Linked DNA regions of Coturnix japonica. The protein of the gene in region 1 interacts with the protein of each later gene in a biochemical or structural test. Links are inferred from orthologs where the notes say so. Each region holds a gene or a part of one and is shown on either strand. Other genes may lie near its edges.

What was found.
Region 2: of the proteins of CGAS (region 1) and RNF185, one has a biochemical effect on the other in vitro, tested with the Homo sapiens proteins (2 studies listed by BioGRID). The link is inferred for Coturnix japonica from reciprocal best matches to the Homo sapiens genes CGAS and RNF185.

What each region holds. Positions count from the first base shown.
Region 1 is NC_029518.1:74,372,705-74,376,604, forward strand, and holds the start of CGAS (cyclic GMP-AMP synthase), read left to right. Parts: upstream 1-943; coding exon 944-1,567; intron 1,568-2,275; coding exon 2,276-2,498; intron 2,499-3,110; coding exon 3,111-3,359; intron 3,360-3,900. Other genes in the region: protein MTO1 homolog, mitochondrial, read right to left, coding at 486-685, 767-962. UniProt on the Homo sapiens protein: Nucleotidyltransferase that catalyzes the formation of cyclic GMP-AMP (2',3'-cGAMP) from ATP and GTP and plays a key role in innate immunity.
Region 2 is NC_029530.1:8,057,394-8,061,305, reverse strand, and holds the start of RNF185 (E3 ubiquitin-protein ligase RNF185), read left to right. Parts: upstream 1-1,573; 5' UTR 1,574-2,348; intron 2,349-2,680; exon of another isoform or gene 2,681-2,974; intron 2,975-3,912. UniProt on the Homo sapiens protein: E3 ubiquitin-protein ligase that regulates selective mitochondrial autophagy by mediating 'Lys-63'-linked polyubiquitination of BNIP1.

The DNA.
Region 1 (3,900 bases):
GTGGGCTCATTATGTCAGAGGTGGATGTTGGTGGTACAGCAGAAAAGGCTGAACTGTCCTGTCTTTATTCTATTCCATGATGTTGCTGTGTGACAGATGGCAGCAGAGGGGCAGCCTGACAACATGGTGCCTGACATGGAAGTGTGTATGAAGCAAGGTGTGTCAGTGAACTCCTCCATGCAGGTAACATGGCACCCACTGACATACATCAACATGTGCTTGCATTTATGGAGAGCAGAGTGGATGTGAGCAGGTGGTGTGTTTCACACAGTGGGTCACCTCTATGAGTGCAGCAGGCAGGTTCTTATTCACTGCTAGCAAAAATACAATGATATTGGTGGTTACTACGCTGAAAAATAGAGTTTTGTAGCTGATAATCTGCTCTATCAACCAGTGTTACAGCGCTCTCGGTCTCTATTGCAGTTTGCAGGGCAATAAATGGGAGGCATTACTTTCGGAGCGCGCAGCACAGGCCGCACACCCACCTGCACTCGGTCCCGGTACCGCCGCCGGTCGATCTGCGCACGCAGCCCCCACACGGCCGGGCCTTTGCTGCGGTTGAGCACTTTGTAATGCACCCCGGACACGTCGCACATCCGCCCGCACAGCCCGTCCAGGGCGTCCACCTCCCGCATCAGGTGCCCCTTCCCGATGCCTCCGAATGACGGGTTGCACGACATCTCTCCTGCACCAAGCACACGGGGACACCCTCAGCACCGCCGCAACGTGCGGCCCCGCCGCCCCCGGCCTCATCCCCCGGCGGTACCGATGGTGCCGATCTTGTGCGTGAGCAGCAGCGTGCGGGCCCCGCCGCGAGCGGCCGCCGCCGCCGCCTCCGTGCCGGCATGGCCGCCGCCGATCACCAGCACTTCGTAGCGCGGGGCCGCGCTCCCCGCCCGCCGTCTGTGTGCCCGCTGAGCCGCGGGCGGCGCCAGGCGGCGCCATGCGCTGCAAAACAACATGGCGGCTGCGGGCGGCCGGAACGGGAAGCGGGGCGGGGGGCGGGAGGCGGCTCGGCTGGCGTTGGGGCTCCCCCTGGCGGCGGCTCGTCCCGGCTGCTGGCGGGAGTTTTGGTTCCCCGAGAGCGGCGGCGCCGCCTGGAAGAGGAACTCGCCCTGAGATTCTTCCCGCCGAGTCGCGCTCGCTTCCGCGTGGGTGCGTGAGGCTCATGGAGGAGACGGCGGCGGGCAGAGGGCAGCCGAGGCAGAGGGCGGCCCGGCCTCGCGGCTCACGGGGTAGAGGCACCGCGGCACGACGCGGATCGACCGCGAGGGGTGATGCGACCGACGGGCATCCCACGGACGGGGCTCCACGCGCGGTCGTGCCCAGGGCACGAGCTGAGTCCACCCCGGTGCCTCGAACCCTGTCGGCGCGGAGCAGAGCGACGGGCGGGCTGCGGCTGAGGGAGGTGCTGTCGCAGCTCAGCCTGGGCCGGCAGGACGTGTCGGAGGCGTCGGGGCTGGTGAACCACGTCGTGTCCCACCTGATCCAGGCCGTCCGAGGGAGGGACGGCAGCTTCAGCTCCATCAGCAGGCTGGGAGCCGGCAGCTACTACGAGCACGTCAAGGTGCGAGCGGGGCTGGGGTAGCGTGGGGCAGGGGCGGGCGGACTGCGGCCGAATAGCCTCAAGAAGGGGAGCTATAGACTCAAGAAGGGGAGCTATAGCTTTTCCTATAGGAAAGAACGGGACAGGCCCTTTAGCGGGGGCTGCAGTGATTGCACGAGGAAAAAAGGGTTTAATTAAACCTTGATCGTAAAAAGAGGGTAGGATTTGGGTTGAATATAAGGAAAAAGGTGTGTCACAGGGAGGGCGGTGAGGCAGTGGCACAGGTTGTTCAGGGATGTGGTGAATGCCCCGTCCCTGGAGACTTTCAAGGCCAGGCCCCGGGCAACCTGCTCCAGCTGTAGGTGTCGCTGTTCGGTGCAGGGCAGTTGGACTAGATGGCCTTTCAGGGTCCCTTCCAGCTGCAAGGATTCTGTGCTTCCATGACTGCTCGCTGGACCATGGACTGGCTGTGATGCTGTACCAGGAGGTGGTGGTCAGTGGCTGCTTGACCTGCAGCAGCTCGGACCTGTGACCACCGGGGGAGCGGTGTCACTAAACTGCTCTTCTTCACATGAACGCACATCAGTCTGGTAATACAAATTCATCAGAAATAAGGTAATGTTTCACTCCAGATGTGGAAAATACATCCAGGTGGTTGTAGATAAAGCTTCAGCTTTAGGTGAAAGGCAATACAACCTAAGGTGATGCTTGTGTTCTTGTCCTTTGCAGATATCTGAACCAAATGAGTTTGATATCATGCTTGTAATGCCTGTCACAAGGCTGCAGCTAGATGAGTGTGACGGCACTGGAGCCTATTATTATCTATCGTTCAAAAGAAGTCCAAAAGAGAAGTATATGAATAAGTTTCTAGATGAAGATGGAAAATTATCAGCCGACAAAATGCTGCAAGAACTAAGGCGAATTATTAAAGAGGAAGTAAAACACATTAAAAGTAAGTACTGCACAATCAGGTTTCACTCAGGCACACTAATAATGCATCTGCAATCCCATATATGCAATATGTATCTTTCCCCTCACTCAATTATCCCTCGGGGCATCATAACTGAAAGTGAAACCCTCTCTTCCCCTGTGATCTCAAGCACTTATTCTAAAAATCACCATAAATGCACCAGAGCAGCAAAAGGAATTACATTACTTGAGTCAGATAATGCATTACTGAATGTTACTTCATAGCTACCCATAAAACGTATTGCATTTTAAAGTGCTCTTTTTCCTCATAAGCCTTTGGCCAAGTTGTGGACAAATCTCTAAACGTTTTCCACAGTCATCTGATGTTCCCTTGTCGTTCCTGTTCATTAGACAGCATTATGGTGCCTACAGAAGACATCTCAAATAGTCACAATATTAAAAATAAACAGAGAAATCATGCGAATGCTTCAGGTCGAGAAGAGCTTCTCTTTTGTAGAGGGAAGCCTCATCTGGCCTCCTTAATTTCACCAACCCTACAGGATGAAATGCTTGAGGATTCTGACCAATTACTAATTCCTATTCAGTAAACATCTTAATAACCTCCAAAAAAAAAGATTACTTTCTTTTTTGTTAGTAGATGTGGAAGTAACCGTGAAAAGGAAAAAGCCCGGAAGCCCTGCAATAACTCTCCAGATCAAAAAGCCTCCAGCAGAAATATCAGTGGACATCATCCTGGCTTTGGAAGTTCAGCAGAGCTGGCCTCCCAGCACACAGGACGGCCTCAACATAGAATGCTGGCTAGGAAGAAAAGTCAGGAGAGAGTTCAGACATAAACCCATTTACTTAGTGGCCAAGCAAAACAAAAAAGAAAAGCTCCTAAGAGGTACTTCGAATACAGATAATAAGCTTAATAATTAATTACTTTCTCTGCAACTTGATCACTTGATACAACTTGATAAATGCCATAAAAAGGGTATCCAGGTTCTGCTCAGTGTTCTGCCTTCAAGGTATGGATCTCTACATTATCTTGGGTACGTCCAGATAATGATTGAAAGCCCCCTTTAAAGCACCAGCCTGGTAACAGAGCTTATCCCGTGCTGAAATCTAAGGCTGATAATTGCACTACAGACAGTACAGTAACCAGCACTGTCTCAAATCTATCAGACAGATGCATATGTAATGTTTCCTGTACTAGTGCTGTACTTAACAGCAACATCCGCTCCTTTGTAAAGAAAAAAATTAAAGGAGGTGTGTAAAAATACACAGAAATCCCTGAAAACGGCGCTTGTTCTACGCATGTTTTATACTTATGCAGGAAGTAAACTATTCAAGGTAGATTATTTCCTCATTGTACTTTGGTATGGCTGCAGGACGACTGTTATTGTTTGCTGTTTTTTTTTTCCCAGAGCACTCTCACCATGCCC
Region 2 (3,912 bases), on another chromosome or scaffold:
AGAAGAAAACAATTTTTCCAAGTTGCACTCAGATCTTTAATTTCTCACTTTTAGCACACAGAAGCATCACTGTACTTTACCCATACAACAAGCCTTTATAGTATCATATACTATTACCTGTCCAGCATTGCTCCCAGTTTCTTTGCAACGTGTGCTCTGAACTCTGGTGTGGTCTGTAGCTCATTTCCATCCTCATTGTGGCCATTCACCTCACGTCTGTTTAAAATGAAATAATGATCATCTCCTTCAAGAGCAATAACATCCAACACTCACAGTCAAACAGCAGATAAGGGGCTGTAAAATCTCCCACCCTGTAGTAACTAATCCACATTTGAGATGATAAGAGACAACTGCTAAGTAAAGCAAAGAACTCAACAGTTCAGTTCCTAACAATGAGTTAAACATTATTCAGCCATCTTCCTGGCAGCAATGGGATGATTTTCTCATTGAAACAGTCTGCAGAAGCAAAGAGATGATGGCAGGACATCCCCGCTCTGGTAGGAGCTTCTTGAATGCACTGCCACAATTCATGCAAATCTGTCCCAGAAGAAACATGTCGCTGAGCTGCACAGCTGGCAGCTTCTGAGACCAAGCCTGCAGAAATGCTGCAAGCTTACGTAGCTCAGCATCCCCCTTGGTACAAAGCACCTAATTCAGACATTGCTTTCCCACCCAATAAAGGATCAGGTTTTCAGTCACACTGGAATTATTTGCCCTTCTGCATACAACCCTCTATTTTTCAAGTAATCAGTTTTGTTGTATGTAACTATTAACGTTTTTCATGGCAGGGGCACGGGAGAATTAGGGCACAATGAGGCATTTCTGCTAACTTGAACTCGTGAAACTGCCAGCAGACATTTGTTTTCAATTACTTTTGCTTTACTGCTAGAGGGATGACAAATACACTTCCGAAATAACTGTATTCATTTATTAGAACTAAGCATCACTTCAGATCGCAATCACACCGATTCCAACGGCACAATAAGGCCTTGAGCAGCACAGCTCATGTGTTCCCTCAGCAGAACACGATCGATACCTGAGGCTGTGCCGAGCTGCCTGCGGCGGATCCTTCGGAACGGCACCTGCAAGGGAAGGGGCACGTCAGGAAGACGCGGCCATGCAGCGGCCATGCAGCAGCCGTGCAGCGCACAGAGCGGTCGCCGTCACCCCGCTCCCGCTCACCGCCCGCCCGCAGTTTCCCGCAGTCCCACGCCGCCTCCCGGTACCGCTCCGCCGCCCCGTCGCTGCTCTCCGAGTCCGAGCTGCTGTCCACACCACGGCCGGCCCTGGGCGCCGACATGTTGAAGCCACGCGCGTCGCGGGGCACGCCGGGCGCTGTAGTTCTCCCGCCGTGCCGCGGGGCATGCCGGGCGATGTAGTCCCGTACCACCGAGCCCCACGAGATGGCCGCGGCGGAACCGGAGCGATCGGAACGGGAGGAGAACGGCGGGAAGGGCGGGGAATGAACGGGAGGAGCGAGGAGACGGCACGGGGAACCGCCTCCACCCGCTGGTCCGAGGGCTGCGCTGGTGCAATACACCGAGTGCCCGGCAGTTGTGGCAGTGCTGCCGGGTCACCGTGTCCATACCGGCGGTACCGATGGATGAGCAGCTCAGCCCCGCACGGTTTTACACTGACACTAACTCCCAGCTGGCACGTCCGAACGTGCCGTGAGATCCGCGTGCTCCCAGCCCGTCTATGGCAGCGGACACGGCTCACACAGCGCCCTGCTCTAACAGAGGCTCCTCTCGCACTCATCACTGCGCTCCTCTCAGGGCGCTGGGCTCCAGGCTGGGGTTGTCCCGCTCCAAGTCTGTCCCAGCTCTGACAGCCCCGGGCCCGTCCTCTCCTCGTAGCTGTACACACAAATCCCTCCTCGAGGCTGTTCGCTCTGTCCCCGGAGCTGTTCCTGCTCACAGCACCGCACTCCGTTGCCTTTGTGTAACGTTCCCCGCTGTCACTTTCTCCCCCGCTCTCCCGGACACTCGCTGTCGCGGATGACGCGCAGTCCGCGCTCGTTCCAGTGGGAGGCATCGGGCCGCAGCCCCCGCAGCGCCTCGCGACGGACGGGCTGCGCTGAAAGCAGAGCGGGACGGCAGACGCGGCGCCCAGGCAGCGCTGCCCCGGCTCATCCGGCTGATCCGGCCGCTGTCCCGCGGTGCGGCAGGCAGCGCTCACTCACTCACAGCGCGGTGGCACAGACCGCTCGGTGCGGGCGGAACGCGGCCCCGCAGCGCGGAGCGGAGCGGCGGGGAGAGGCCGGTCCCTTCCGCCGGGCCGCGCTTCCGGGGCGATCAGGTGACGGCGGCCGCGAGCAGGGAGCGGCTCCGCGGATCCCGAGAGCGACGGTGAGCGCGGCCGGGGGGAACGGATCGGGTCCGGGTCCGGGTCCGGGTCCGGCTGAGGGGGTGGGGGACGGGGGGAGCCGAATCCGTGATTCGGTGGTGCCGGAACGAAAGGATCGGGCCGGGCCGTCACCGGGGCGACCCGGAAGGCCGAAGCCGTTTGCGGCCGTTCTGACCGAGCGGGACGGGGGAAGCCTCGGCAGCTTCGGGCCCCGGGCCGGTGTCGGCAGCGCGGGGTGGGCCCGGCCCGGGTTGCGCTCCGCCGGGCCCGCGGTGCCGCCCTCCCGCCTGACCTCCGGCCCCGCCGCCCTGCCGGGCCTGCAGCCGCCTGCCGGCACTCGGCGGCGGAGCTGGAGGCGCCCCGACCCTCCCGCACCGTCCGGAGCGCTCCGGGCAGCGCTGGGTGCGGGCAGGGCCGCCGAGCAGCCGCTGTGCGCCGGCTCCTGTTCGCTGCTGCTCCGCACTCGCCGAACCGCGGCCCTATGCCTGTTTCTCCCGTCGCGTTGCCAACAGCTTACAGAACTGTAATGTTTTACATAACAGCAGGCCAGGAGAACGCTCAGCTCCTGTTACCCAATTGGTTCTATCGCTGTGCTTTCTTTTTTTAATTTTCCCCTTTAGACTTAGAGGTAAGAAAATCATTGTTTCAACATTACTACATTTTCTCAGAATCTATATCACATTTCTATGGAACAAATGATAAAAGACAATTCCGTAGCCGCATTTCTGCTGGTTGTCAGACCATGGCACATTGGGCACATTGGGCACATTGGGCACATTGGTGAGGTGCACTGGTGAGGTGTGTTGGCTCTTTCCAGCTGCCCACAGAGCTGTTCATGAGGGCTGCACCCAGCAGTGCCTGTAACGCAGCCCTGTGTTGCGGAATCCCAATTAACAAAATGAGGCCAAGCGAGGGCACGCTGCTCTGCTGGTAAATGGATGCTTTGAGCAGAGAGATGAGCACACAGCTTTGGATCCTGGGGCTTTATGGTGAGACTAAAAAGCAGCTGCGTGGTGCTGCCTGGGTTATGGTAAGTGAAAAGATGGACTTAGAGGAAATGTTCCAAAAGGGTTAAAATATGTAAGTGGGACAGAGTAAAAATGTAACAAGATATAAAGTGCCTTTAATGATTAACAGTCACGTATCTGCTCACATCTACCTTAAAACAACTGTCGAGAAGTACACGTACCTTTTTCTGGACGCTGCCAACAATTATCAGCTCTGATCATCTGCGGCTTTTACTTGAAGTCCAGACAGCTGGAATAGGTTAAGAACAGACTTCTGTTAAACCTGCGTGTGACAAGTATTTATATAAACTGTCAGTATTTTTCATAGGGTTTCTGATGCTGATTTTCCTTTTCTACAACAGAGGTATCCAAAAAAATGACGTTATCATTTCGGTCATAGGAAAAACTGACACGTTTTCCTTTCCATTGAAACAGCAGGAAGCTGAGAAACTAAATCGGCTTGTTTCAGAAATGAATGAGGGCTGGATTGTTTCAGAAGTCCCAGAGAAAATAGGATTAATTAGCAAAGAAGGATGGAAAAGTGTCCTTCTGGTGGAAT